Nothobranchius furzeri: one gene and its partner. The protein of the gene in region 1 interacts with the protein of each later gene in a pairwise test. Links are inferred from orthologs where the notes say so. Each region holds a gene or a part of one and is shown in the gene's direction. Other genes may lie near its edges. The genes, in order: aqr and znf830.

Region 1 (3,824 bases):
TTACTCTCCTGTCCCTCCTAATCTCTTAATTACCTTAGAGAGCAAATAAAAGTAACCTAAATCTGCCCCTTCCTCTTTGTCCCACTTCCCCCTTTTTTAATCGTTGCTTATCTTTGTCTTCTTCCATATTTGTCCCACTCAACTAGTCCTGCTTATCCTCCTCTAAACCTCCCTCCTACACCGAACTCATCTTTGCTTGTTCGTGTTTATCCTTTCACCGTGGCGCCAGCTTTTGTTTTGTTGCCCCTACACAGGTTTTTCTTCCACAGCTTTCCCTCCTTCCCACTCAGGTCTTTGAATCTTTTCCCCCCCTTTGTACCAAAGGAAAGTAGAAAAAAAAACAACTTCAACATTTATCGTTCTCCACAGGGATGTGCGGCGTCTGGTGGTGGCCATGTCAAGGGCCAGGTTGGGTCTCTACATCTTTGCCCGAGTGTCTCTGTTCCAGAACTGTTTTGAGCTGACTCCAGTCTTCAACCAGCTCACTGCCAGACCGCTGCAGCTCCACATTCGACCACACGAGTACTACAACCAGGAGCAGCATGTGCGTCAACACACACACACACACACACACACACACACACACACACACACACACACACACACACACACACACACACACACACACACACACACACACACACACACACACTAGCATAGTACCCAAATTTTGTTCGTAATTTCAATTCAAGGTCCTCTCGTATTTGAATTGTGTGTCAGTGTGATGAGAAAAAGAAGCAGTCTCAAAGTTATGTCTACCGTTATAACTTGGTATAAATTTAGTTTTGATCAGAAACCGTTTCGCATAAACGAGAAAAGCTCTAACAGCAAAATGGCAACGTATGTTGTGGCGTTCTGATCCAAATGAGCAGGGAAGATGTTCTTTGTGTATGTGAGTTAAAGCAGCTGCAGTGGGTGGAGCCTGATTATTATTAACATTGACGTTGGTTCCTGATCACACGTTTGTGTCGTAGGACCAGAAGCGCCCTATTTAGGGACACCTGTGCAATGTCGTTTATGCCCTAAAGGTCACACGCAACAGAAACGCATCAACTTTTCCTCGGATCCCTCTTCTTTACTTCCTCACCTACATTGGACTTTCTTTATTATTCTTCCCAGTGTTGAAGACAAATACACACACAGACCTTGACTTGTTTGGTATTTTCAGGTAACACAAACCTGGCTATGGTAGAGACAAAACCTTTTTCCCAAGTCCATCCAGACCAGCGTGGCACGACTTGTGTCTGGTCACTGTATTGTGTCTATAATACCCCGCAGCCTCTGACACATCCTCTGACTCTCAAGTGGTCATCCCCATGAGGGACAGCTCTATTGGGCACACACATGTGTCCCCCTGCTTATCACATCCACCTAGAGTCAGTATACGTCACCTGCGAACACACAGATGCAGAAGAAAAGTAAGATTTTGTCTGACGACACAACAGGAACTCTCGTGGGCTTGTTATCTCGACGGTTTTGTCTGAATAGAAACAGTTTGGGTTAATTTGTAAAACTAAATGCATCACGTTTGGAAATGAATCAGAAGGTTTGACTGATAGTTTTTACTGCTGTTAAGTTGTATAGTAGTAAAGCTTTCAGTCTCATTGACTTTGACACGAAGCCCACAGGGCGTCTGCGAGCACCTCGCCTGGATTTACCATCAGCAGCTTAGCTGAATGTTCCTCTCTTCAGTTTAGGCTGCAGGACTCTGTCTGCATACTGATGCCATCAAATTACTGACTCTGCAGCCTAAACTGCATTTGATCAGTGTGCAAGTAGCAAAAGCTGGAGGGAAATATTAGCTTACGAATAACAAGGCAGCAGGAAAGGAAGTTTTAATCTCCTCCCAACATTTAGCCCTAAATCAGTGCTGCCCCAGATGGTGCCTGAATTAATCAACTCTAATGTGAATGATATTATTTTCCTTTTTGTCTTATTCTGGATTCTCTAATTGTTCCTTTATTTTATTTATTTTTTTACTTTTCTCTTCAGAGAGATGAGCAGCCTGACCGGATTGTGAATAACATGCCGGAGATGGCTAACCTTGTGTACAACATGTACATGCACATGATCCAGACCTCCCAGAAGTACAAACAGGTAAAACAGCAGATAAAACAGCATATTTAAGGCTTTCTTCATTTAAAAATTGATAAATCAATGAACAAATGTACCTTTAATTGTGGATAATTATCTAATAAAAGCTAAATTGGTTTGAGATGAGTAAATTTACTAATTACATATCTATCTGTTTTGTGTCTAGATACATTTTTTTTAAATAACTGAAGGAATAAAAAAAAAAATGTTCCTAAGGAGCAAATATTTGATTTTATTATAACACAACAAAACATGATCATATTTATACCTAAAATTCATGGAAAAAAAATACTTTGTTTTTGTTTCCTTCAACTAATGCAGCTAAATATCACCTCAGACTTAGACGCTAAATATTGTGAAGTTTGATCAAAACACCTACTAGAGACTTTGTGAACATTTTCCTTTAATGTTTGAAATTTTTTATGCAGAAACATGTTTTAATCCTTTTTTTGTGTAACTTCTCAACAGCAGCAGCAGCAGCAGAAACTGGCAACGCCTCCCCAACAAACTCCAGAGTCTTCAAATGCTGCAGCTGAGAAAACACCAGAAAGCTCAGAGAAATCCCAGAAAGAAACGCCCATGGAGCAGGGAACCCCCGAAGGAGAGGCGAGCTCCGTGCCGAACCCAGAGGACACAAACGAGAGCAAAGGAGAGCAGGATGAAGTCGACCACACGAAGATGCCGCAGCATCCGGGCAGAGACAGCGACAGCGAGGAGGAGGGCGGCGCAGAAGAGCAGTAGAACGCATTTAATTGGACTGCTGATGAGGGATTCCCCTCTGGATAAAAAAGTAGTTTGATTTAATTATTTCTGCATCTGTTTTCTACTAAATAAAATCGTCATGATGATGATTTTTGTATTTTTTATAACATCCAGTTCTTTATTAAATAACATGGAAAACTTTTTGTATATCCAATCATTTCTCTCTCTCTCACACACACATACACACACACGCACACACACACACCAACAAAAAGGCTTTATTTCAATCTCTGTCATGATTCATTCATTTATCAGCTTCAAATCTGATTGGTTCAACCTATACAAGCTCAACTAAGCTGCATTTATAGGTCAGGTCCTTCACACATGAGCCTGTGTGTATGCTGGGGAATTTCAAGCTGCCCTGTGGAAATGCACTCACTCAACCAGCAACAACAAATCCTCAACCATTCACATATTTGCAGCTCTGCAGAGCGTTGGGTAGTAAGGAATGAGATTTCTGCGTATGGTGAAGACATTAATGCGAGACTTAATATTTGTGTTAACATCAAAAGGTTAAAAAAAATAGGTCTTGGTAATTTAAACCTAATTTAATTAACATGAAGCGGTTAACAGTCCCCCAGCCTGCAGGCAGAGACAGACTGGAGATAAATTCATTATGGTGCACCAGAGGTTAGTTGTTGCATCACACCTCGGGCTGGTTGACGGAGCAGGTCGCCCGCACAGCTGCTGGTGTCTGGGCTGCTGATGGTGAACCGTGCACTGATGCCATGTCAAGTGTAGGTTTATGAAATCCCCTCGTATTGTCTAGGTGCAGGGCATTCTGGGTAAAAGTTCACAGGAGCAGTAGGTTATGCTTCCTGCTAGCTGAGGAAAGGATTAGAACGACGTGTCGGATAAGAGATTATCTGTTGGCTGCTGCATGAATCACAATGACAGATCTTGCATAACTTAGCAAGGAAGTCGTGCATAATTCAGACAGCTCCAATGAAAATGTCTGCAAATGCATC
Region 2 (3,981 bases), on another chromosome or scaffold:
GTGAAGAGGTGTGTTCCCTGTAAAAACAAGCACATTTGTCCAGACTGGTAGTACAGAAAGATAAATAAACAATCCTAAAGCATTTAAAATCAACGAAATTAGCGTTTTACCATGTAGATCTTTCTGAGAAATGCTGTGGGTCCTAATGAGAGAAGAGAGCCGACGCACATCTCCTTTGTACACACACTCATGAACAGGGAACTCCAGCTCATCACTGGTCAGGATAATTGGGTTTTTGTTGTCATCGTCCTTCACTGATGCGTTTCCGTTGATGTTGTTTGCATTAAGCTGCTGCTGCAGCGCGGAGGTTTTAACTGATTTCTGAAAAGCCTTGTTGGATTTAAAGTGGTTGTAAGTGTCGTTAGAGATCGTACCGTTAGAGGTTTCCTCGTAGGTGTCCGTTATCTCCTGGTTTTTGTTTGCTTTTTTGTGATCTTTTCGCATGGTGCGGATCTTTTCACCTGTCATGGTGCAGACTACAGTACGCTAATTACTAGATTACAAACTGGTGAAGGCGTGGCGTTTATTAAAGCACTGAAAGGCTCCGCAAATAAACGACAAATATTTGCTTGTTTTAAATATTTGATTAAATATCGTTACAGCTGTTGTCCCGAGTCAATTAGCTCCCCCGGCGCTAGCTAGCTAGCCCACAATAAAATAATGAATATGGTGGGTGCGGCGATGAAAACAGAAATTAATGCTAAACCCAAAATAACACTTGTACTAAAATAACATAAAGCTAAAACGTACAGCGACTAACGACGGCTACATCGTTATCTATTCTATCGCACCTTAAATCTACGTTTTAATATTATCGATTCAGTCTTTGCAGCAAAAGTGGGGCGGACAGGTTGGTATAATAAACCAAAAAGCTAACATTCTCGCTAGCACCAGCGGTGTACCGCAAATCTCGCGAGATTATTGGTTTAAAGAGTAAATTAATATGATTAATTTAAAGACAGGATGTTGATTTAGTAACTTCTAAAATACAGCTAATAAAAGAAAATGTAAAAAAAATGTATTATTTTTGTTCAACCAAGGTATATTGTGTGTTTTAACACGAGACAAAAATTAAAGTATACACTTGTTCATTTTTATGCCGTTATTTTCAACGAAATATAAAATTGCTTTTCCAAGAACAGACATATGTTAATGTGATATTTTAGAAAACACAACTTTTATGACACATGAAAAGTTTATGACTCCGGTTTCCCACAAACCAAAAACATGCATGTCAGCTTGATTTGACACTTATATTGGCGCTTTCACATCCCACGTGTTAGTATTACTGACTTCCATACACTTTCATAGATACCTTAAAGGCTCATTTTAATAATTAGTTGCAGAAAAAATACATGTAATCTCAATTAATGTTATTTAGTCTTTTATTTTTTATATCTTATAGTTTTAGTGTTGTTTTTATATGCTTGTAGTTTGAGTGTCTGCCAAGAATAACTGAAACTTTTCCGAAAAAATCTCGTAAATTTAGATAGGCCTTTACCCAATTATCATTTTAAACACAGAAGGAATCGTTAACAAATAACTAAACATTGTGCAAAAACATAATATCAGCCATATTGTCAAATACGTGACTTTTAATAGTTATGAACCCAAAAGTTTCCAAAATGTTGCTAAACACGGTTAAAAAAGGTGGAAAGGAGTGAGAGGGGCATTCATTCAAAATCAGAAAGAAATAAAAAATGTAGGTTGTGTTATTCCAGTTCAAATCCAGTTGATGGCAGCAATGAGCTAGGCGTTACCTTTTACCCGCGATAAAGACGAAGAAGATACGTCATCTTCATGAGACGTATTTTTACGGTGTTGTGAGCTAGTTGCTACCTGGCTAACAAGACGTGTTATTAAAAATGGCATCCTCTAAAAAAGGAAAGAAAGCAGTAAATCAAGAAGAGCTTCGACGGTTGATGAGAGAGAAACAAAGACAAACCACCGAGAAGAATCGCATCGTGTCTCCTTTCGCTAAATACAACAGTCTCGGTCACCTCAGCTGTGTCCTGTGCAGCGTCCAAGTGAAGTCGGAGCTACTGTGGCCAGCCCATGTTCTTGGAAAGCAGCATAAGGAAAAGGTTGCTGAGCTGAAGGCAGCCAAGACTCAATCAGTGGCTGCACCGAGTCAAGCGGTGAAGAGGAAAGCGTCAGACAGCGAAGACGCTATTGGGAAGAAGGCAAAACCAGCGGCGGTTGATGGTCAGGCTGCGTCAGGAGTTCCTGGAGATTTCTTCGATAAACCCAGCGATGAAGCTGCTGTCCCTGCTCAAAAGTCTGCAGGACTGAGTCTCTTGGCCGGTGTTTATGACGGGGATGATGATGAGGAAGAGGAAGCTGATGAGACGAATCCACCTGCTCAGAAGACTGAAGTTGCAGGACTACCATCTGACTTCTTTGACAGCTCCATCCCATCCACACCTGCCATTTCCCATTCAGGATCAATCCTTAAAGCAGACGTGCAGGAAAAGGCCATTGAGAAGAAGGATAACACAGCAGAGGCGCTCCCTGAAGGCTTTTTCGACGACCCAGTCAGGGACGCCAAAGTGCGAAACGTGGATGCACCAAAAGATCATATGGACAAAGAGTGGGAAGAGTTTCAGAAGGAGATACGACAGGTGAACACCAAATCAGAGGCCATCGTGGCGGAGGATGACGAAGAAGGTCGCATTGAACGCCAGATCGATGAAATTGATGAACAAATTGAGTGTTACAAAAGAGTGGAGCTACTCAGGGATAAGAGAGAAGTGCTGAAAAGGAAGGTTGTGCACGTGCCTAGTGAACGCATTCAAACAGAGGAGACTGTTGAAGATGATGAGGAGGATGAAGAAGGGCTCCTGGGGCTTTTGTCTCGAGACTGGAGGGCTAAAGGGGCTCTGGCCTGAAGGAACTTTATTACTGACTCAACAATTATTTTGTTTAAAGATTTCAGTTCAAGATTTATAAATAGATTTGATTTAAAAATGCTCATGTTTTTCTATAACATTACAGTGATTAACACAAAGTTGCAAGATGTGAGTAAAACTCAGAAACAATATCAGTTAATGACCACAAAATAAAACCATTTATCATCTTTATTGGTGCCCAAACAAAAAACAATCATAAAATCTCATTTACAGCAACAATTTACACCATGATGGCGGCCAAGGCCCTGACAACATGAGCTCAAATAACCATTGTCCTGCATAACCTATTGATGACATGTTTAATGAAAAAAAAAAAGTTCATGTCACATCAAAAATCAACATTTGCAGAACTAAATCATTAAAATATTGTGATTAAGACCATAAATTAAGTTTCAACAAGCTGGCCCCCTTAACAAGATAACCAGTTAATAATACATTTGTACAAAGCACAACAAAGTTTTATATTTCTGCGATGTAGATAGATGCACTATTAAAATGCAATAAAATGTATTGGAAATAGTGATTGTCAGTGTTTCTTACACTACCTTTTATATATATGATGAGCTAGGGTTGCCTTTTTCCCACTGCAACATCTCAAACTTACTTATTGCTGCATGTCTCATAAACAACCACTTCAAAGTGTTCATAGCCCTTCATATCTACAAAACATGACAAAATAAATTTTAAAAAGTATAAATACATGAACAGATTATGTGATCCGTTATAAACCTGGTGAAAATAAGGAGGAATAAATACAGAACAAAAACACTTTGTTTTATCCCAAAAGGTTTAAACTGCAGTATTCACTTGAGGTGAATAATTGTCTGACAATGCCATTCCTAGTGTTCGTTTGTAAACACAGAGTTTAAAAGTTGTACCGGGTGTTTATGAGAGCATTTGGAACTTGATGGGTCAAGAAAAGCCTGATGGAAAATGGAGGAAATGGATGAAAAGAATATAGAAAGACTGGTGTTCGGGAATGAGATTAAAACAACACCAATGGTCATCGGTGGTTTACTGTAATAAACCAAAGACCTGGCTACATTAGATCTGAATGTTTTCCTTACAGATG

Evidence for each region.
Region 2: the proteins of aqr (region 1) and znf830 interact in a two-hybrid assay, tested with the Homo sapiens proteins (2 studies listed by BioGRID and IntAct, with this or other methods). The link is inferred for Nothobranchius furzeri from reciprocal best matches to the Homo sapiens genes AQR and ZNF830.

What each region holds. Positions count from the first base shown.
Region 1 is NC_091758.1:25,923,652-25,927,475, reverse strand, and holds the end of aqr (RNA helicase aquarius), read left to right. Parts: intron 1-369; coding exon 370-544; intron 545-1,992; coding exon 1,993-2,097; intron 2,098-2,562; coding exon 2,563-2,835; 3' UTR 2,836-2,997; downstream 2,998-3,824.
Region 2 is NC_091751.1:50,905,075-50,909,055, forward strand, and holds znf830 (zinc finger protein 830), read left to right. Parts: upstream 1-1,755; 5' UTR 1,756-1,865; coding exon 1,866-2,888; 3' UTR 2,889-3,432; downstream 3,433-3,981. Other genes in the region: ankyrin repeat domain-containing protein 13C, read right to left, coding at 1-17, 111-468.